Linked DNA regions of Oryctolagus cuniculus. The protein of the gene in region 1 interacts with the protein of each later gene in a pairwise test. Links are inferred from orthologs where the notes say so. Each region holds a gene or a part of one and is shown in the gene's direction. Other genes may lie near its edges.

Region 1 (5,853 bases):
AGTGGATAAAGCTGGAAATCATTGGAAATGAGGAGGATGAAGAACTAAGAAGCCAGGAGGATGTCAGATGGTTCATATGTGAGGATGGTGAGGTCACTCAAGAAAAGAGCTTCATGTGCAGCAATTTTCAATTTTAGTGCTTCAGACATTGCTCAGAACCTGATTCTTTTATATTGTTCTGACAGCAGGAATAGCATCCCCTCCAGTCCCAGATAAGGGCAATTCTTCAAGCCCCCTTATGATCCCAATCTAACAGCACAACTTGGTAGATATTGGTTTGCCAATCTGGAGGTTACTGTTCATTCTAGGATGTTTGATGAACTTCACAAGTTTATTTAATACGGCATTGGTTGCCATCTTAGTGCTGCAATAGGAACACTTTTGCTATTCCATCCTGAATCACTAAACTAGCTGGGAAAGAAGGAGTAAGTCTCCTAAAAGATTCCTTTTAATATGGATGAATGTTGACACTGTATGCATTTTGCTTGTGATGATCTTTCTCAAGCTGAGTGGGCATTAGTGGTGTGGGCCCCTGTCCCCAAGTCCTTGTCTCAGTAATAACCATGCTGATGATCGTGGAGGTTTCCAGGAAAACAAGGTACATCTACAGCAACATGTGTCCTTGGAGTTTCTAAAGCTGCATCAGTTCCTGCACAGCAAAGAAAAGGACATTCTAAATGAGCTCCGGGAAGAGGGCAAAACCTTGAATGAGGAGATGGAGTTGAATTTGAACCAGCTTCAGGAGCAGTGTCTCCTGGCCAAGGATATGCTGGTTAGCATTCAGGTACGGATGGAACAGCAGAACTCCTTCGACTTCCTCAAGGTGAGGCTCCACCCCAACGCGACTGCAGGTACACTCAGAGGGAGGAAGAGGGCTGAAGAGGATGTGGAAGTGACTTTTCACTAGGGGAAAAACAAAGTGAAACTACTCTAGTGCTTTTAAGTCTTTCTGGGAATAAAGCAGGAAGGTACTTTTGTTTTTGGCTCAGCAGATGGGTTTACTGTCATCCTCCTAGAAAAAGAAGATAATAAAATCTCATTCATAGGGGCGGCACTGTGGCTCACTTGGTTAATCCTTCGCCTGCAGTGCCTGCATCCCTTATGGGCATCTGGTTCTAGTTCCGGTTGCTCCTCTTCCAGTCCAGCTCTCTGCTGTGGCCCGGGAGTGCAGTGGAGGATGGCCCAAGTGCTTGGGCCCCTGCACCCATGTGGGAGACCAGGAGGAAGCACCTGGCTCCTGGCTTTGGATCGGCGCAGCGCTGGCCGTAGTGGCCATCTTGGGGGTGAACCAACGGAAGGAAGACCTTTCTGTCACTCTCTCACTGTCTATAACTCTGTCAAATAAAAATTAAAAAAAAAAAAAAAAGAACCAACTCATTCATAGTGTGGGACACTGTGGTACAGAGGGTTAGGCAGTTGCTTGAGATTCCTGCATATATGGGAGTGCCTGGGATTGAGTCCAGACTCTGACTTTCACTGAACTTCCTGCTAATGCGTACCCTGGGAGGCAGCAGATAATGGCTCAAGTACCTGTGTCCCTGCCAACCACATAGGAGATCTGCGTGGAATTTCTGGCTCCTAACTTTGGCTTGACCAAGCTCTGGCTGTTGCAGACTTTTGAGGACTGACTAGTAAATAGAAGATCTTTCTACCTTTTGATCTCTTTCTGTTGCTCTGCTTTTCAAATATAAATTAACATTTTTTAAAAAAATGCCATTAATAACAGTGTGGTTTAGTATTTCTCCCTAACCAACTTTAAAGCTTTATATCTAAACATAAGAATGTTTGCAGCTTGATTTGTATCTTTGACTTGGGTTCAGCAATCATAAGGTGACATATTTGAAAAGTTATTTGCCAAATTTTGCTACCTAAAGTTTCACTTCTAAGTTGACAGAATTCAGCACTTAGAAGTTTAGTTAGCCAGAAGGAAAAGTGTGCTTGGACTGGATTTTCTGGTGATACTATTTGAAAGGATAGGTTACAACAAAAAGAAAAGCTTAAACTTTACTGTCTTATTGATTTCCCTCTTATCCTTTATAAAAGGGAATTCTAGAAAGTCAAGACAAGGTAAGGTCAGTTTATCCTGGATGAGATCAGGGATGCAGACCAGAAAAGGCATATGGAGGATGAAAGCAGTTGGTGGAGAGGGGGCCTATCTACATAGGATAGCAGGTGATGATCAAATTCTAGTGGTGGCCAAATCACCAAAGGAGTCTCTGGAGTTGATGAACAGATGTCTGACTTGTCTATTTCTCCTTTCCTCTTCTAGGACATCACAAATCTTTTGGATAGGTAAGTGTTTCCCCCATGGTACTCTTACTGCCCGTTCTTCAGCTCCTGGAGAATGTCTACAAATAAATGATTTATTTCCCCTTCAGCTTGGAGCAAGGAATGAAGGTGCTGACACCCAGGGACCTTATCTCCAGAAAGTTGAACCCAGGCCAGTTCAAGGGTCCCATCCAGTATATGATATGGAGGGAAATGCAGTCCACCATCCTTCCAGGTATCAAGTGGGTAGCGACCTGGACTCCTAATTATGCTTCATTCCTGGAGACTCTTCTGAGGCCCTAATTAGGTCTTTAGACTCTGGTACGGGAAGAAAGATGGAGTTTAGCCAAAAGGAGACTTAGTTGGTATGACTGAACTTCTTTTGGAGTTATACCTAAGAACTTATGGCTTTGTATCAGTTAACAGATGAATCTGATATTAGAATTTATTCCCAGCCTATGATTTTGTTTGTTCTATTAAATGTGGCCAAAATTTTGTCCTCTTGCAAAAATACCTCCATAAATCCCTGAGGCTTCTCTGCCCTGGGGAAGGAAGTTTCTGCACATATTTCTCCATATGCACATGGGATGTTTACAGGTTCTTTGTGCTTGACGGTCACAGCACAGAGTAGAACATCTTAGGATATTGCGCAGAGATCTTCAGTAGGAAACCAATAATTTGAATAAATATGCCTAATAAGGATGCTAAGTTTTTGTGTTCCTGTGGATGCCAAAAGAATGAGGACAAAATAACATAGATGGCATTCCAAGAACACTATATAAGTTTTTAAAAAATCTTTATAAGAAAATCTTTTCTAGAAACAAAATTCTAAATAATGTTTTTACAGAATTCATTTAGACCCATTTTCATGATTGTCATAATTACTGATTTAATTATGACCAAGAAAATTACAAATTTTTCCAGAGAATTGACAGGGGAAAATAAACCCTTTACTGAAGTATAAACAACAGAATAAAATTTACCAATAAAAAAGAGTTATTCATTTACTTATTTGAAAGGCAGAGTGACAGAGAGAGGGAGAGGGAGATCTAGAGGGAGGGAGGAAAGGAGAGGGAGTGGAAAGGAGGGAGGGAGGGAGAAAGGGAGGGAGGGAGTATGTCTCTCATCTACTAATTGACTCTCCAAATTGTTGCAATGGCAAGGACTGGGCCATGCTAAAGTCAGGAGCCAGGAATTCCATTCAAATCTCCCACATCGTGTCAGGGGCCCAAGCACTTGGGCTTGTTCTGCTGCTTTGCCAGGTATATTAGCATAGAGCTGGAACAGAAGTGGAGCAGCTGGGACTCGAACCAGTACTCCAATATGGGACGCCAGCATCTTCTTTTTATTATTTTATTTATTAAAGATTTTTGTATTTAATGTCAGAGTTACACAGAGAAAGGAGAGGCAGAGAGAGAGAGAGAGAGGTCTTCCATCTGCTGCTTCATTCCCCAGCTGGCCACAAAGGCTGGAGCTAAGCCAATCCGAAGGCAGGAGCCAGGAGCTTCTTCCAGGTCTCCCATGCGGGTGCAGGGGTCCAAGGACTTGGGCCATCTTTTACTGCTTTCCCAGGCCATAGCAGAGAGCTGGATAGGAAATGGAGCAGCCAGAACTCGAACCAGCACCCATATGGAATGCCGGCACTGCAGGCAGCGGCCTTACCTGTTACGCCACAGCACCAACCTCTTAGATGCCAGCATCTTAAGTGCTGCTTAACCTGTTGTGTCACAATGACAACCCCAAATTTACTAGTTAAGTATATTAGTTTGGTGAGTTTAGACAGACATATACGCTTATGTGAACATCCCTATAATCAAGATAAAGAAAACTTACATCATCCCAGGAAGTTCCCACATGCCCCTTCACAGTCATCCTCAACTTCATTTCTCTGTATATACTGTATCTCCCCCCGACCCCGGGGAGTCTATTTTTAGACTTGCTTTTATGCTACTTGCATATACTAATTTGATTATGCTGAGTTTTGTTGTAATTTTCTTTATATTTATTCTGCTTGTGGTTCATTGAGCTTCTTGGATCTATGAGCTAGTAGTTTTCATCAAATTTGAAATAATATCTACTAGTATTTCTTCCAGTATTTTTTTTTTTACCATACCTGTTGTCTCCCCTCCTTCTGGAATTCTGATTTTACGTATGTTAGATAATTTGATATTGTCAGGTTGTCTCATGTCATTGATTCTCACTACTTAAGCTTTAATTCGTGTGTTTCATTTGAATAGTTTCTTTTGCTATTTAAGTTCTCTTATCTTTTCTTCTGCACTAATTAATGCTGTTCAAGATATTTTCATTTCATAAACATTTAATTTCTAGAAGTTTCATTTTGGGTCTTTTTATAAAAGTCTTCCATTTCTCTCCTCATTGTACTCATACCTTCCTTGAGCAGATGGAAGATATAACTGTTTTAATGTCCTTGTTGCTAATTCCATCATTGTTATCATTTGGGACCTGTTTTTACTGCTTGATTTTTCTCCTGACTGGTCATATTTTCCTGCTGCTTTGCATGGCAAGTACTGTTTTTTTCTTTTTAATGGGGCTAATTTTTTAGAACACTTTTCAATTTTAAAATTTTACAGAACAATTGAGATGGTAGCACAGAGAGTTCTCACACACTCCTTCCCCAGGTTCTCCTATAAATAACATCTTATATTTAATACATTTTAATAATGAATCCAAGTTGATACATTTCAGTTCCTAGAATTCCATCTCTAAAATCTGTATTTTCCATCCTTATTGTCACTCTTTGGTTTAGGTCTTAATTTTTCACCTAGATGGCTATTACAGAGTCTGAGTTGGTCTTCTAGTTCTCCTTCTTTGGAGCAGAAGCTACATCTTTTATTTCTGTGTTCTCAGAGCCCAACTTAACGTTTAACACATAGTGGGCCCCTTATAAGAGTATGCTGAATGAGTGAATTTTGATGATTTTTTTTTTGATAAACACAAAACTAAAGGAAATAAATTAAAATATTTTAAATTTAGTGATTGCCTAATTTGGAGTTGGCAAACTATAGCCAAAAGGCCAAATCTGGCCTATTGCCTATTTTGTAAACGAAGTTTTATTGGAACACATCTGTGACTATTCATTTACATATTATCTGTGACTTTTTTTTTTCACCATAATGGCAGTTAAGTGGTTCCAACAAAGACCATACAACATGTAAACATTTAAAATACTAATTATCTGAGCCCTTATAGAAAAAATATTAGTTTCTTCCGAAAAGCAACAGCCTCATGTATAAACCTGATAGAGAAGGAGCTAATATAGAACCTGCAGAATAAGTGAAGACCTAGAAATAGTGCAGTAACTGAAGCTATTGATAAGAGATTTTCCAGGAGAAGGAGAGAATGGAGTTTCTTGTAGAGAATACCAACAGGAAAAATGTGATGAATCAGCCAAAAGACACAGGAGAATCTAGGCAGGAGAAATAAAAGGAAAACCAAAAAATAAAGGTGAAATGGAATCTACGGAAAGAAAATGTCAAGGAGAAGATAGTGATCATTCATGCCACAATCAGCGATGATAATTAAGAAAGTGACAGGAAAACAGATGGTTTAAACAACAACTGATCA
Region 2 (5,853 bases), on another chromosome or scaffold:
GTGACTGCTTCCTCAACAAGACTTTGAAGCAATCCTTCAGTTTTCACTCTTCTGAACACAAGACTGTGAAATGCTTCTCAAGATCTTGAACAAAGAAAATTGTTTTGTTAAAATGATCGGGTCTTCCGAACGACTTTGCTAAGCTGACTTCAGTTTCAGGGCAACTGTAGTAAAAGCAGAAATTTAGGGCAAGTGTTGGTAGCTTCGTGGGTGTCCCTGTCCCCAGGAAAGCAGTGTGGTAGACCCTAGTGTGACTCCTCTCACTGGGGGTGGGGGAGGCCTCAAAGGCGATCTCCTTCCCTGCCCAAGCTCCACTGAGGCTGCGCGTGAGGAGGGTTGGTGCTTGGAGCCACTGGCTCTGGCCTCCTAGAAGGCCCTGAGGGAGGGAGTGCGAGTCCTTGGCTCTCGGAATGTGGAGCACCTCATTCCTCCAGGACTCAGCAGAGGTTTCCTGTGGCCAGTTCTGGCACCTGCCATGCAACACTCCCCAGTGACTAAGAAAGGGAGACAGGATGGTAGTCCTGGGGGCACAGCGGGACTTCCTGCCCAGTGTTAGAGAGAGGGACAGGATGATGGGATGGCAGTCCTGGGGGCACAGCGGGACTTCCTGCCCAGTGTTAGAGAGAGGGACAGGATGATGGGATGGCAGTCCTGGGGGCACAGCAGGACTTCCTGCCCAGTGTTTTAGTGAGAAGTGGTAAGCTCTTTTTCCTTCATTTGACCCCAGGGTACAATTTTCTCCTAAGATATTTAAACCCTCTCAAAATTGATGTTTTACAGAACTGTAACTTATTACCAACCTGTGGAACAAGGACGAGGTATTAACGATGGATTTGCTAACCTTATTGAATATTCATGGGAGAAACTGGGGTAGATAAAAGTCAAGCTGCGTTTCTACACTTGGAGAGAAGTCCTACTCTGTGTATGAACTGTCCCTCCAGAATCCAATTCATCCCCTTACTTTCCTCAACAGCTAATTGCTCTCTCGTCTGTGCCCAGAGCACCTCATGTACCACTTCCATTGTTCATAGCACTTTAATTCTTGCTTCCTTTTTTTCTCATTTTATAGGCAACTTTTTAGAAATCTGTGTTGTACAACAAGTTACCCTTGAGAATCCTATTAAGTTATAGACTATTTCTGGCAACCATACGTACAGATATACATGTGTGTATGTGCACACACACACACACACAAACTCTGGGTCCAGGGAGTTGGATTTAAAAAGCCTCACGTTGTACCACCCATGCCATGCTGATACACAGTATATAACAGAATAAATGCTTGTTGAATGGAACTGCAAATGGTCATGCACCTTGTCAGTGTTTCAGTCACTCTGAAACCCATAACTGTTGCTAGAGACTCAGGCCAGATCCAGCTTCCCTTTCCAATCTTACATCTCCATCTTACCAGCAGGAGCCCTCACCCCCATCAGAGGTGCAACTGTTAGCAAGTCCTTCTTTTCCTCTTCTTCTTTATCTCCTCCTCCTCTTCTCCTTCTCCTTCTTCTTTTAAAGATTTATTTTATTTACTTGAAAGACCGTTGCAGAGAGAGGTCTTCCATCCACTGGTTCACTTCCCAAATGGCCACAACTTCTGGAGCTGAGCCTGTCTGAAGCCAGGAGCCAGGAGCTTCTTCTGAGTCTCCTACATGGGTGCAGGGGCCCAAGAACTTGGGCCATCCTCCGCTGCTTTCCCAGGCGCACTAGCAGGGAGCTGGATCCAAAGTGGAGCAGCTGGGACTAGAACTGGCACCCATATGGGATGCCAGTGCTGTAGGCCAGGGTTTTAACCCACTGTACCACAGTGGGGGCTTCAACAAGTCCTTCTTTTAACAGAATTAATTCTTTGTTGTCTTTGTATTAGCTCTAATATGTCATAATGAATTCTTATACGACTGAATGAACCAAAATTCAAATATCAGTGCATGCTTAGGTAAAGTAAATTAGCACAAAATTCTAAAATAATTGACCTGCCTTAGAATATAAGCAAATTGCTTATTTAATTTTCACCTCCTATTTTGCAAATTTGTCTTATTTCCTCTCTCTCTCTCCCTCTATCAATATACATTTTATACAAAGCAATAACGCAAAAATTACAACTTTAAATCATGGAAAGATCATAGAGAATACAAGTTTATGTAATACAGCCTGGTCTGGGACATGCACAGCAGTCTCTTGATGACATCCACCTGCCTTGGGGCAGCAGCATTAGGTGGTGGGTGGCTGGGTGGACATCAGAGCAACCTCCATGGTCTGCTCCACGTGCTAAAGGTGTGCCCTGCAGGGGGTGGGGCTGGAGAGTGAGTCAGGAAAGTGGATTAAAACTGGTTCTTCGGCACTGATGTTTCCAAGATTTGAAATTCTGATCTTTGTGGTGTTAAAAACTGTTACATAGAAGCAGACTTCAAAATCTTCACAGAAAATTAAAAGTTTGTTTTGGTGCCAAGAATTTTGAAATCCATGCATAGCTTTTCATCATATGCATTATCTGTGAACTCTTTGGAGACCCCTTGTGTACATGCAACTTCTCTCACTGTTACAATAACCCCACAAGTGGGAGAACGATAGTCCGATTGCGAATGAGGAAGCTGAATCCTGAGAGGCCAAGGAGCTGCCCCAGTGTGGCCCTGCAAGTGCAGCTCCAGAGCTGACCTCCTAACCCATTCCCATTCTCTCTGTGGGGAGAAAAGACTCGGCAACCGAGTAGCGGGACTGAGCTGGCTGGATGGTAAAGGCAGCTTTGGAGATGTGACATAGATCTCACTAGTGTAAGAAGAATCCCAGAAAGATGCACACGTGAGCTTAGTATGTTTTAAAGAAGAGAAACTTGCATGGGGTAAACACGAAATGATTGGTGACCATTTATTGCTAAATAATGGCATGATAGAGCTTAAGGAAAAATTCCAAAAATAGGATTGTAAGACTGTCGCTCCTTTGAATACCTGTGAGCAAATAAAACTTCCACTAAAATATATGGCACAGGTTAATGGGAAACAGAAAAAAAATGCATGTTCTGAGCTAGAAAACACCAATTTCAATTCCGTGTTTGTGTCTCATGTAAACCGTCTCCTGTTCCCGCAGGAGTTCCCTTCCTTTCCCCTACCTGGGCGAGCAGCATCTGCCTTCTCCCTGGGATTGCAGTTCAATCTCTCAGTCTTCTTAGCCTCCCCCGGCCTGCTCCTGCGCTGCATTCTGCGGTCTCTCCCCTTCCAGGCTCTCCTTGCCCACCCTCCTGCAGGGCCTTTGTCAGGGTCTCCTGTGGTGTCTCTCCCACTGGGATGACTTTGTCATTGGTTCCTCTCCCATACCACTGGATCCGCCTCTTTTTGAACCAGATTTGATCCTAGGAGGCCTCTGCTCAGAAGCTGTGACAGATCTCCATCGCCCACCCCATGAAGGCAGACCCTTGGGAGATGGGTGTGTCCCGGGCCAGCCCCCCTTACCCCAGCATGCAGCACAGCCTCCAGCCCTCCGAAAAGTGCCTGACCTGCTGCGCATTCTCTATCGCAACACCACCTTCAAGGCCTGGGGTGCCCGTCCCCATCTTCCTGCAGCCCCACCCCAGGTCTTCAATGCCCGGACTTGAAGTCACTTTCTAGAAATTTCTCCCAATCTTCCTCAAAATTAGTGTTTCAGTTTGGGGCTCCTCCTGATGCACTTGGTTTGTGTTGCTTTGACAGCACTTGGCAGGCTTCTCTGGGCTGTGAACAGTGCCTTCTGGGCTACAGAGGTCCTCCATGTACCCCATGACAGCTTCCTGCTACGGCATGCTGGGCCCTTATCAATTCAATGCTCTTGGGCAGCAGAAGATGAACAAGACCTAAACGAAAATCCTGTTCTTTTTTTTTTTCAACCTAAATATAAACAGCAAGTTCATGCATTTTTATTTTCATCGTAAGTAAACTAAGGCAGTGAAGAGAGCAACAGCCAATATTCTCCATTATCTCTTCCCTCCCCAACCAGAACCAACTGGATTAAAGATTACTTGGACGATGCCCCTGTTCTGATTCTCATTTTCAAACAAGTACATGGCTTTACTGCAAAGGGCAAGAAAAAGGTGCACTACTACAATGAGATCAGCGTTTCCATCGCCTGTGGCATCCTGCTAGCTGCCCTGCAGGTATGTTTCCCTCCCACTGCGCCACGGGGGAGAAACAGGACTTGGGAGTGGAGGGGCACTATGGTGGCCCTATTAGCACATTTCATCAGAGTTTCCAAATCAGGGATGTTAGGAAACTTTATGCAAAGTTGAATGCCGGAGAAACTCCTAATGCTGGAGACCCCGGTGGGTGATGAGGAGGGTCCAACAGGCTGGAATTCTTCTTGGAAATTCACTTGGAAAATCATTTCGGGTCCGAAGGATCGTCGTTCAGTTTGCCCTCATCTGTAACAACCTGCAGCTTCAAGGGCTTCGGCAGACACACAAGAGCTTCAGAGGCTGAAAGTCCCCGAGACTCGCTCCCTGCCCGTGTCTACTGCCCCCCGCCCCCTGCAGCGGGGGAGGGGACGATGGCAAAGCTAGCAGTGGGGCTGCACTGTCTTCCAGCGCCTTCCCTGACACGCTGACTTGGCGTTGTATGACTTAACACAGCTACGGGCTGGCATTTTCCTCTTATCTGCACAGCGGTGAGAGCAACGCTAACATGGGATAGAGCACAGTGCAGATGGGCCTCGCAAGCCATTCGATTCACTCGCGCAGCAGAAATTCTCGGAGCTCCCTCCGTGCGGCGGTCCCAGGGGTTGCTGGTGAACTGAGCGTTCTGCAGGGCTTTGGAGTCAGGGCTGGGGGTGGAGAGACGGCAAAAACGCAAAATAAACACAGCAGCGAAGATTATCAGCGCGAGTGGTCCTACTTTCGAGGGCCAGTCCATTCCGACACATACGAGCTGCTTCATCGTCTCAGACAAGTGTGTCGGCTGAGCAGCTCCCGGGGACACAGCCACCGCTAGAGGCACGTGCTTTCAGATGACCGGCATCTACTTCCTAACTGCACCTGTGAGTAGGTGAACAAAGGATCCCGAGCGGAGGCCACAGGTCCCGCGGTCCATCCAGGAGCAGCGAGGGCTCCCTGGGAGCTCGGCTCGCTGCTGCCCTCTAGCGCTTGCTGAGGCAAGTTGTGATCAGAGGGAGGAGAACACTGTGGTAGCCCCCTCCTTACATAGGGTGTGACGGGAATAAGCTGGCCTTGCAGGACTGGGCAGCTCCGGGGCCTCTTGCTGGTTCCTGGAGAAGGGTGGCCGGGGAAGTGCCTGGAAGCCTCACTTTGGACCCAAATGCTCGTTATTTGGAGGTCTGGGGAGAGATTGGTGGGGGATTTCCTTTATCCCCGGTGCATCCCGTAGCCACTGAGTCCTTTTTGATTGGGCATGGGTGTTTTCATTCACCGTGATTCGCTGCTTCCCCTGCTGGCTCCACGGTCACAGAAGCGCTTGGCTATTGCTGTTATTTAGAATAAAACAGGCAGGCCTTGATCAGTGCATTAAATTCCAGGATCTAACAGTAGGTCTACAATTTTAAACATCATGATGACGATGATGATGTTTCAAAATATCTGTAACGATTGTAACGTGATATGAAATATCTGTGAATTTTATTTGTGACAAAGTCATAGGTGTTACACAGACCTGCTGAATTCTATCTTTGACCCTTTTTGATCTGAGGATTTCAGGTTAAAGAACTCCTGATCTGTCAGAAGATCAAAGTGCTAGCATCCCGAGAGAGTGGAAGATGCAATAGTAAAAGAAGTTATCTCAAAGAGAAGGGTTATCTAACATGTTCTGTATGTTCACAGATTTCTAAGACATCCAAAATTCAGTATAGAACAAAAGCTGTGTTTTCAAGGAGGATCAAAAT
Region 3 (4,797 bases), on another chromosome or scaffold:
GCAGGCGTCCCTCGAGGACACGGGAGGCCGGCCATTCCTCCACCACTGTCATCAGTGTACGCCTGGGGCAGCGGGCTCAGCGCCCCCCTGAGGCTGCCCATGCTCAACACGGAGGTGGTGCAAGTGGCGGCTGGGCGCACGCAGAAGGCTGGCGTCACGCGCTCTGGGCGCCTCATCCTCTGGGAGGTGAGCAGGGCGTGGAAGGGGTCAGAGTGGGGACCTACAGGGAGGTTGCTGGTGCTCAGGCGCCGCCCCCTCCCTCCGCAGGCCCCGCCCCTCGGCACTGGGGGAGGCGCCCTCCTCCCCGGGGCGGTGGAGCAGCCGCAGCCCCAGTTCGTGTCGCGTTTCCTGGAAGGCCAGTCGGGCGTGACCATCAAGCACGTGGCATGTGGGGACCTCTTTACGGCCTGCCTGACCGGTGAGCCCACAGAGCAGCTCACTCGTTGCAAACTGCTCACCTAACCTTTTTCTCTCCTAGTTGTTGAGTTAGTGCTTTCTGTCTGCTAGCCGTTGAGATTTACTTACACCATCTCTGTCACCCCACACAACGGGCTTGGCAAGGGCATTGTTATGGTATACCCATTTGACAGGTGGAGAAACTGAGGCTCAGAGATTCTGCCACTTGTCCGAAGTCATACACTGAGAAGACAGCCCCCTGGCCTGTTCTCACCCATCCTTTTTGCTCTAGCCCCCAACTTTCGTCTTGCTCCTCCAAACCACAGGTGTGGGACTGGTCTAACTTCTCTGCCTTCTGTCTCCTCCCTGCCTCCTGCCCAGACCGCGGCATCATCATGACCTTCGGCAGCGGCAGCAACGGGTGCCTCGGCCACGGCAGCCTCACCGACATCAGCCAGGTGGGGATCCTGTGGGTTTCGCCCTGGGGAAGGGGAAGTAGGGGGATGGCAAACGGCCCACATCTGAGAGCCGATACCACACTGGGGCAGGGGAGTCCCCAGCAGCACAGGTGCCTCTGGCTCCGAGGCTGCACCTGCTCTTGGTGGCATCAGCGGAAGCACAGAAAGACCAGGCTTCGCCAGTGAGCGCCTCCTGCTTGGCAGCATGTGTGCAGCTGGAGTTAAAGAGACAGCACTTGAAAATGTGCAAGCTCCAATTTCATCCCCACTGGGGGTGCTGCCGCCTGGGGGCGAGTCCTGACCACCGGCCCCCTGCTTCTTCCCCCACTCTAGCCCACCATTGTGGAGGCCCTGCTGGGCTATGAGATGGTGCAGGTGGCTTGCGGGGCCTCTCACGTGCTAGCCCTGTCCACTGAGCGAGAACTGTTTGCCTGGGGCCGCGGAGATGGTGGTAAGGTCTCCACCCTTGCTGCAGCCCCTAAGCTTCGTCCCCCAGCCCCCTCCCATACCCCCGCCTCCCCCTTCCATTCTGTCTTCCCTCTTTTCTCTCCGATTTATTCTTTCAACACACCTTGGTCACACACCCACTGTGGGTCCACCCTGGGCTGGGTGCTGGGGCCAGATGAACAAGATGTGGCTTCCTCCAGGCGCACTGGGCACTAACTCCAGCGGTGGCGCAGGTGGGTACCTGTCCCCTGGAGGACTCGGGCTAGTGGAGATGGCACAGCTGCAGCGTTGCCACAGGTCAGACAGCATCGGGGCCACGCCGAGGCTCAGGTGTAGGAGCTCCAGGAGCAGCAGTCACCTGTGGAGACAGAGGGGGCATCCGAACAGGGCTTTCAGGGAGGATCCGGCTGACGGCAGCGCCATGCAAGGCCCTCTGAGGCGCAGGGAACAGCCTGCTCTCTGGGCCCCGCCCAGTGCTGAAGTGCGAACTAACCCCATCTCGCCTTCTCCTTCCTTGTAGGCAGGCTGGGTCTGGGGACCAGGGAGTCCCACAGCTGCCCCCAGCAGGTGCCCCTGCCCCCAGGACAGGAAGCCCAGCGGATTGTATGTGGCATCGACTCGTCCATGCTCCTCACTGTGCCTGGCCAAGCTCTGGCCTGTGGGAGCAACAGGTGAGCAGGTGCACCGGGCTGATTCCCCAGCCTCTGCCGCCCACCGAGGACCACGCTGAGAGGGGCTGAGGATGCTGCTTGGCCCAGTGCAGGTGCAGCAGCCCCTGCCCAGAGAGCTGGGGGCGGGCAGTCTGGATCTGCCTTCTGGCTCTGCCTTCAGGTTCAATAAGCTGGGCCTGGACCACATCTCCCTGGGGGAGGATCCCGTTCCCCACCAGCAAGTGGAGGAGGCCCTGAGCTTCACCCCTCTAGGCTCTGCACCCCTGGACCGGGAGCCCCTGCTGAGTGTGGACCTGGGCACTGCGCACTCAGCTGCTGTGACTGGTGAGGACGCGTGCATGGGAGGCCGGTGGGGGGCGCCCTGGCTTCCAGAGGGCCTCTGTTGAGGCGCCTTCCCTTGCTCTCCTGCCCCCTCCCTCCACAGCCGCGGGGCACTGCTACACATTCGGCAGCAATCAGCACGGGCAGCTGGGCAGCAGCACTGGCCGGGGCGGCCGGGCACCCTGTCAGGTCCAAGGCCTCGAGGGCATCAGGATGGCGATGGTGGCCTGTGGCGATGCCTTCACTGTAGCCATTGGGGCAGGTGAGGGGTGGGCACAGCGGGCAGACTGGCACGGAGAGCCTGGCAGGCAGTGTAGGACATCACGCTCAGGGCCGCTGGACTCAGCCAGCTCCCCCCGGGGCCAGTCTGGTAGGCTGGGCTCAGAGCTGCTTGCTTGGGCCGTGTGCCCCTTCCCACGTTCTCCCTCGGGCTTTTCTCTGGCAGAGGGTGAGGTGTACTCCTGGGGCAAGGGAGCCCGAGGCCGGCTGGGAAGGAGGGACGAGGATGCCGGCCTCCCTCGGCCGGTGCAGCTGGACGAGACACACCCTTACACCGTGACTTCCGTGTCCTGCTGCCACGGAAACACACTCTTGGCTGTGCGGCGTGAGTGTTGACTCCCCCCCACCCAGGCCAGGCTAACCCAGGGGGGCCCTGCCCACACTCCCATTCCTGGCAGGCAGTCACAGCCCAAACTACCAAACACACCACACACCGTCGACTCCCAGAAGCTGTGGGGCAAGACCAAGCTTCCTGCCAGAAGTGGGTGCTGGTGGGCGCTACCCAGGGCTTTTGTGTGCTCTACCCAGGGCTTTTGTGTGCTCCTTCTCCTCCTACCCCGCGGGTCCAAGAGGCTCTGAACCTCCAGCTCTGGCCTGGCAGGGCCCTGCGGGGCGGGGGTTGTGGTGGGAATGCTTTCTGGAGGCACCGCCTTCCGGGAGGCTGCAGGGGGTTCTGTCTGGTACCCTCCAGCTGTCACGGATGAGCCCGTGCCCCCCTGAGGTGCTGGATGCACCTCTGGACCACCCTGATCTGGCTTCTCCACCAAGAGTCATGAAGAGTGCAGGCGCCTGCGGCATGATTGTCCCCACCAGACCCCTGGGCTGTCATCAGAGGGGCGGAAGGGCCAGCGAAGTCCTGCTTTGCTTCGGAACCCCAACCGGAGCAGGCAAAGCCATGTGAGCAGCATTTCCAGCCCCGGCTGCTCCACTTCCGATCCAGCTCCCTGCTCATGCGCCTGGGAGGCCAGCAGAAGTGGTGCTTGGGCTCCTCCCTCCCACGTGGGGGACCCGGATGCAGTTCCAGGCTCCTGGCTCCCACCTTGTCCAGGCCCAGCTGGTGCTGCCTTTTGGGGAGTGAGCCAGCAGATGGAAGACCTCTCTCTCTCTGTAACTCTGCCTTTCAAATAAATAAATCTTTCAATAAACCCGAACCTCAGCCACCCCCACCCCTTTTCTCAGTCTACCCCTGGGGTCAGACCCTGGGGAGCTGGGTGGTCTCCTGGGCCTTGGCAGGCGGAGGCTGGTGGGGCTGCAGTCAGGCCTTTCCCCTCTTCCAGCCAGGAGAGCCCCTGCTGCCCAGTGGGACATGGTCTCCAAGCTTGGGAGCAGGGCAAGCCCGGACTGGCCCTTAGGCTGGCCTGGGGCTGGGAGCTCGGAGGGAGCTGCTGCCCGCCCCCACTCCTTATCCCGCAGCAGGGATTTGCACAACCTGCGAGGCCTCCCTAGCCCTGCGGGAGTGCGGGAGCCGCCCAGTGTTGCAGAGGTCACCTCCTCACCCCATGCCTTTCCCCAGACCCACGTGGAGGGGGGAAGGGGAGCTGGCTGGACCAGACCAGTTTCCCGGTAGACTGGAAGTCGCCTGAATAAAAGTATCCGCTGCCTGCCTGCAGCGTGCTCTCTTCAGAGGTGGGGTGGGTGGCAGCCACACACCACAAGACGTGGGCTGGGCCCGGCCGCGGTTGCAGGGCCGCGGCCGGGGAAGGAATGTGGGCGCAGCCGGGGGCTGGGACAGAGGCTCCTTTGGCCCAGCGCCCAGTCCAGCCTCCTCGCCCCGGACGGGCTCCTCGGATCTGGTTGCCAGGCTTAGCTGCTTAGCACCTGGAAGCTGGGGGCCCGGGTCCCTGGGGGGCGCACGGCCCCTGAGGCCGGGCTGCTGACTGCGGAGAAGCAAACCTTTGTGGAGCGGCCCGTCGTCTCTGGCTACGCCGCGCACTCCCCTGGGGCCCTCCGCCCCAGCCTAGCGCGGGGCACGCCCCTTTCCCCAGCTCCGGGGAGAAGCGGAGCCACGATCCTTCATTCCAGCCCTCGCTTCCGGGAGTGGACGAGTCTGGCCGCGGCCGGACCCCGAAGACGGGAGCCCGCGCGGTGGGCGCTAGGACCGCGCGGCCTCGGCTCCGCCCCTTCTTCCGGCGGGCGGGCTCGCGGGCCGGGCCCGGAGCGCGGCCGCCAGTCGGCGCCGCCCGGAGCCGGGAGCGCGGCCGGAGCGAGGCGCGGGCTGTGGGGCC
Region 4 (5,853 bases), on another chromosome or scaffold:
AGCCTGGGCTTTTATGGACATGAGGATGGGTCCCCCATGCCCTCTCCCCTCCTCTGTCTTCTGGGAGAGTCTGGGTGGGAGAATTTGGATGTGGAATTCCCCTAGACAGATCCCTGTGGGCAGTACTGGCCGCCAGGGGTCTTATCTATTGGAGAGGCACAGGACTCCTGCAGTCCAGTAGGGCCAGTTGCTTCACTCCCTCAACTCAGCGAATTCCCGTTGCTGAAGGATGGGCAGGGAGACGGACAGCAGGCTGCATCCTGCTTTAAGGACTCGTGTCCTCACTCCGTTCAATTCAGTTTATTTTCTTCTCATTGTCTTCGGCCCCTCTTACACACATAGGCCAATATTTGCTGGCTGCTTTAACAGCCTCACTTAAATCTGCATTTTCTTCCCAGCTCTTAAAGTCAGTCTTCATTGTCGGCTCTTGGGCCAGGTGTGTGGAAGAGACTCCCTAAGGCTTCATTTCCAAGTTACTTGAAATGCCACAATTTTCCATAACTTCAGTTTGGTCTTAGTGAAAGGCCAGCCAGAGCATTGGTTCATTCAGATAACAAAAATGAAATCGCTTCCAAGGATTGCTTCTAGTGAGATATCTATATATAGATTTAAATCTATAAATCAATCAATCTCTTTAGAGTTTCCCCAGATTATCTAGGCATTTGATGAAGACTTGGCAATTTTTGAAAATGCCAGAATAGTTACTTTCCAAGGCATGGATTTTGGTAAAATAGCTGATAGCATCCAAATACAGTTGCTTCTTATTTCACAGCTTAGAATTTAAAATTGAAAAGGAATTAATGTTTATAGAAATTTGTTGTTTGCTTCTTGGTCTACAGGGATGAGCTGAGTCGCTTTTTAAGGCTGCTGCATCTGTGTATGTCCTGCCTACCTTGATTTTTTTATACTTTCTGAATATTCTTTTTTTTTTCAGATTTCTTTTACTTTATTAAAGAATTTTACATTTATGTGCAGGAGCTACCTTGATTTCTTACTGAGCAAGCTAACTTTGAGACAGAAATGTTTGAGAACATTTTTGTCATTTAGAGCATGCGTTTGTTTTGTTTTGCTTTAAAGATTTATTTATTTGAAAGGCAGAGTGATAGAGAGAAAGAGGGAAACAGAGGAAGAGATCTTCTGTCTTCTGGTTCACTCCCCAGGTGGCCACAACGGTGAGGATTGGGCCAGGCCAAAGCCAGGAGCCTAGAACTCCATTCAGGTCTGCCACATGGGTGGCAGAGGCCTGAGTACTTAGGCTATTATTCATTGCCTTCTCCAGCGTTAGCAGGGAGCTGGATTGGAAGTGGAGCAGCTGGGACTTGAACCAGTGCTCTGATATGGGATGCCGATGTCGTAGGCAGCAGCTTAAACTGCTGGGCCACCATGCTGGTCCTGGGACGAGAACATTTTTAATAATTAATATTTATTTATTTGAAAAGCAGGGAGATATTTCTCATCTGATGGTTCAGTCCAGATGGCCACAATGGGCCAGGCCAAAGCCAGGAGCCAGGATCTCAATCTGGGTGGCAGGGACCCCAAGTACTTGAGCCATTACCTGCTGCCTCCCAGAGTGTGCATTTAGCAGAAAGCTGGTATGTGAAGCAGGGCCAGGGCTCAAACCCAGGCACTCTGAACTGGGATGTGGGTGTCCAAAGCTGCATCTTTGTATTATTATTATTATTATTTTAAAAGGATTCATTCATTTATTTGAAAGGCAGAGTTAGAGGGGGGGGAGGCAGAGAGAGAGAGAGAGAGAGAGAGAGAGAGAGAGAGATCATCCATGTGCTGGTTTACTCCCCAAATGGCTGCAATGGCCATGGATGGGCCAGGCTAAACCAGGAGCCTGGAACTCCTCAGGGTCTCCCACATGGGTGGCAAGGGGCCCAAACACTTGGGCCATCCTCTGTTGCTTTCTCAGACACATTGGCAGAGAGCTGGATCAGAAGCAGAGTAGCCGGGACTAGAACTGGCACTCAAATGGGATGCCGGCCTTGCAGGCAGCGGCTTAACCACACTGCACCACAACGCGGGCCCTCACAGCTGCATCTTAACCACTGCACCAAATGCCCACGCCAGGACATTTGGATACCCAACATTTTGTATTTTCTGTCAACATGTTTTGTTTGTTACACACGTATTTCATTACATTGCTTTCTTTTTCTCTTTAGACTTTGGATCGTCACAGTTGAACAGATCACTTGGAGGTAAGCTAGACATTGCAAAATGCTTGTAAGGGCTTTGTATCTTAATATTCCCCTGTGGCAGTGTGTATGTTCTTCTTGTCTGCCCACTATATTCTGCCTACGCTTTGTCCAGGGAAAGAAAGGGCATATTACATTGTCAAGGAGACCCAAGAGAAGACAAGTAAGGTGCAGAGTCTCCTCCACCTTTGAAAGATTTTGAGATTTTGGGGTGGGGAAAGTTGAATCTGGGCTCCGGTTGGAGTCAGCTGCAGGTTGACCTGAGCCCTTGGGGGCAGACTCAGGATGCAGAACGTGAACAGCCTGCGTGCTGCCTGTTCTAACCAAACACCAAATCCCCAAGTCGGGGAGATACAGGCTGTGGTGGCTGCCAAGCTGTTGTGTAGCTGGTTGGATGTAAAGGTTATTCATCTTTTCTAAATACTTGTAAGTAAATGAAGTCATTCTCTACTCTTGTGATCCTGCCACCCTAATGGAAAAATCACTATAGATAAGGTGGCTTGTCTCAGTGTTGGGAGTGTTATGCAAGTTTCTGGCATCAGGGCTTAATGCAGATTCGGACTGGATATTGAGCATTTGTCCTGCTCTTCTCTCCATAGAAAGCCCGTAGCTCCATTGCACCATGTGTGGCATTTGGGCCCTCTTTGGCAGTGACGACTGCCTGTCTGTGCAGTGTCTGAGTGCCATGAAAATCGCACACAGGGGTCCAGATGCATTTCGTTTCGAGAATGTCAATGGCTACACCAACTGCTGCTTTGGATTTCATCGGTTGGCAGTGGTTGACCAGTTGTTTGGAATGCAGCCAATTCGAGTGAAGAAATACCCTTATTTGTGGCTTTGTTACAATGGAGAAATCTACAACCACAAGGCGGTAAGCGAGTTAAAAGCAGGCGATGTCTGGAGGGGATGTAACCTCAGAGCTACTTGGTCGTAATAGTATTACACGCTCCGTGTGATGCCTTCTACTTTCAAAGCCCTTTTCTTGTCCATTATCTCATTTGTTTCAGTTATACAGATAGACAAGGCACTGATACACCAAGAGAGAAGTCGGTCACACAAACACACACAAAATAGAAGCCACAAAAACTGAAGTTACCATTTGGGTCTTTGACTCTCAGAATATGTTTTTCTGTTAGGAATATAAATATTACCTAAGGGCCGTGCTAGGCTCACTGTCCTCTGCTCTGGGCTGGGCATGGTGGGGCAAATGAGAGCTGTCAGTTGCCGGAGGAGATTATTCTCTCCGGGGACAGAGGGAGAGTCGTTGCTCATGCCACGGGTGTTCTGGAAGAATGAATGCAGAATTGCTGAGCAGGGGAGGTCCACTGTGAGGAACGGTGGTTGGAAGCCTCGTGGAGAAGCGACGCTTGGCTGAGACCTGGCAGTCAAGGATCAGCTCATGAGGCCAGGAAGCACTTCCTGCAGCAGGAAGAGCATGTGGAAGCCCCGATGTGGGCGGCAGCCCTGGGAGTGCAGTGAGCAGTAGGCAGGTGGGAAGGCTGAGCTTAAGTGGAAGCAGGGCCACTAAGCAGCTCTTTTTTTTTTTTTTTTTAAGATTTATTCGTTGGGGCCCACGCTGTGGTGTAGTGGGTAAAGCTGCCACCTGCAGTGTCTGCATCCCATTTGGGCTCTGGTTCAAGTCCCAGCTGCTCCACTTCCAATCCAGCTCTCTGCGATGTCCTGGGAAAGCAGTATAGGATGGCCCAAGTCCTTGGGCCCCTGCACCCGCGTGGGAGACCCAGGAGAAGCTTCTAGCTCCTGGCTTCAGATTGGTGCAGCTCCAGCCATTGTGGCCATTTGGGGAGTAAACCAGGGGATGGAAGACCTTTTTTTCTCTCTCTTTCTCTCTGCCTCCCAGTAACTCGTCTTTCAAATAAATAAATAAAATCTTAAAAAATGATTTGTTAATTTGAGAGGCAGAGTTACAGAGAGGCAGTGGCAGGGGGGTGGGGGAGAGGAGATAGAGATCCACTGGCTCACTCCACAAATGGGTGCAGTGGCCGGAGCTGGGCTGATCCGAAGCCAGGAGCCAGGAGCTTCTTCCCAGTCTCCCATGTGGGTGCAGGGGCCCAAGGACTTGGGCCATCCTATACTGCTTTCCCAGGCACATTAGCAGGGAGCTGGATTGGAAGTGGAGCAGCCAGGACACGAACCATAGCCTGATGTGGCACTGCAGGCGGCAGCTGTGTCTGCTACACCACAGTGCTGGCCCCCCTAAGCAAGTCTTTGTAGCCATGGTCAGCAATGGGAATACCATCTAAGAGCGGTGGCAGTTGAGGACTTTAAGGGAGATATTGGAGATGATCATGCTTACAGCTTTTATATAATGCTGCCACTGAGATCTCCCGGCATCCGCCTACCTCACTGATCAGAGCCAGAGGGCAGAAAGGTGGCCTGCAGCAAGTTAGACTCGCAGTAGCACTGGGATCACAGATGCCTCTCATCTGGCGAAAGCTTCCGCTTAAAGTGTGGGTGGTGGGTAAAGAAATTCTGACCCTAGGAACCAAAGGAACTTCCAATCGGATTATTTGGCTAGTGTTTCATGAGAAAACAAAATTTAAATCTGTGGCTGACAGTTTCCTTTTTGTTTATCACCACTGTCCAACTTTCAATGTGGAAATCCTTTCAAATATAGAGAACAGAGCAGTGAATTCCTGGATTGACCAATCCTAAATGTTTTGCCCTATTTGCTTTTTCTCTGTTTCTGTGTGCACACTTTCAGTCTTGGGCTTGAGAGTATGTTGCAGGTATTATGGTACTTTTCCTTCAACATGTAAGCATTTATCTTCAAAGAACAAGCACATTTTTTCTACTTAAGCAATACTATTAAACCTAAGAACTATAATACCTTCCAACATTTAGTTCGTATTTAAATTTTCCCAAGTGTCCCAATAATTTTTTTTTTTTTAAGATGTCATTTAATTTATTTGGCAGACTTACACAGGGAGTGTGAGAGAGAAATCTTCCATCTACTGGTTCACTCCCCAAATGGCTGCAAGCAGGAGCTGGGCCAATCCAAAGCCAGGAGCCAGGAGCTTTGGGCCATCTTCTGTTACCCTCCTAGGTGCATTAGCAGGGAGCTGGATCAGAAGTGGAGCATCCGGTATGGGATGCTGGTGCTGCAGGCAGAGGCTCAACCTCATCCAGGATTTTCAGTTGGTTTTACATGAACTTCTTTTGTCTGCAGCCTCAACTGAAAACATTGAGTGCAAGTACGAAGAGGACGAGGGAGGCCTTGGCTCATCAGGGTTGGCAGGGGCAGGGGAGAGCCACAGAGCTTTGGGTGCAGCTTCCTGGGACCTGCTCTGCGTGTGGCGTCAGCGACAGCCTCTGCTGTTCCGCTGGGGCTTGGGCTGAAAAAGCTTCACTAGGAGTTTGTCTGTCCGTGAGAAGTGGGGGTGGAAGGACCTCCCCCTGATGACCAGCACGTTTGTCTTGGACCACGTGTCTGCCATTGTGCTGGGACATTTATTTTTCAGGGAATGTTGCCAAGTTCTCTGTATCCCTGTGCTCTGTATTTTCATGGGTAGGTGTTTGAGGCTGAATTGGCAGAACCTTGGCTTATGCTGTTTCCCAAACCAGAAGTTTACAATCGCAGAAGACACCTTTTGAGTGGCAACCTATGTTCTTAACACACGTTTATATGTGGATC

The links.
Region 2: the proteins of TRIM69 (region 1) and IYD interact in binary tests that used the Homo sapiens proteins (3 or more experiments, as listed by UniProt). The two-hybrid records come from large-scale screens. The link is inferred for Oryctolagus cuniculus from reciprocal best matches to the Homo sapiens genes TRIM69 and IYD.
Region 3: the proteins of TRIM69 (region 1) and NEK8 interact in binary tests that used the Homo sapiens proteins (3 or more experiments, as listed by UniProt). The two-hybrid records come from large-scale screens. The link is inferred for Oryctolagus cuniculus from reciprocal best matches to the Homo sapiens genes TRIM69 and NEK8.
Region 4: the proteins of TRIM69 (region 1) and ASNS interact in binary tests that used the Homo sapiens proteins (3 or more experiments, as listed by UniProt). The two-hybrid records come from large-scale screens. The link is inferred for Oryctolagus cuniculus from reciprocal best matches to the Homo sapiens genes TRIM69 and ASNS.

What each region holds. Positions count from the first base shown.
Region 1 is NC_091443.1:67,651,714-67,657,566, forward strand, and holds part of TRIM69 (E3 ubiquitin-protein ligase TRIM69), read left to right. Parts: intron 1-589; coding exon 590-823; intron 824-2,269; coding exon 2,270-2,292; intron 2,293-2,378; coding exon 2,379-2,503; intron 2,504-5,853.
Region 2 is NC_091436.1:17,496,021-17,501,873, reverse strand, and holds part of IYD (iodotyrosine deiodinase 1), read left to right. Parts: intron 1-780; coding exon of another isoform or gene 781-874; exon of another isoform or gene 875-3,957; intron 3,958-3,963; coding exon 3,964-4,120; intron 4,121-5,853. UniProt on the Homo sapiens protein: Catalyzes the dehalogenation of halotyrosines such as 3-bromo-L-tyrosine, 3-chloro-L-tyrosine, 3-iodo-L-tyrosine and 3,5-diiodo-L-tyrosine.
Region 3 is NC_091448.1:44,230,323-44,235,119, forward strand, and holds the end of NEK8 (serine/threonine-protein kinase Nek8), read left to right. Parts: intron 1-4; coding exon 5-186; intron 187-267; coding exon 268-418; intron 419-777; coding exon 778-854; intron 855-1,187; coding exon 1,188-1,305; intron 1,306-1,425; exon of another isoform or gene 1,426-1,659; intron 1,660-1,821; coding exon 1,822-1,972; intron 1,973-2,132; coding exon 2,133-2,296; intron 2,297-2,396; coding exon 2,397-2,555; intron 2,556-2,738; coding exon 2,739-2,897; intron 2,898-3,263; coding exon 3,264-3,292; 3' UTR 3,293-3,723; downstream 3,724-4,797. UniProt on the Homo sapiens protein: Required for renal tubular integrity. May regulate local cytoskeletal structure in kidney tubule epithelial cells. May regulate ciliary biogenesis through targeting of proteins to the cilia.
Region 4 is NC_091447.1:38,574,605-38,580,457, forward strand, and holds part of ASNS (asparagine synthetase [glutamine-hydrolyzing]), read left to right. Parts: intron 1-2,168; 5' UTR 2,169-2,204; intron 2,205-2,800; 5' UTR 2,801-2,823; coding exon 2,824-3,072; intron 3,073-5,853.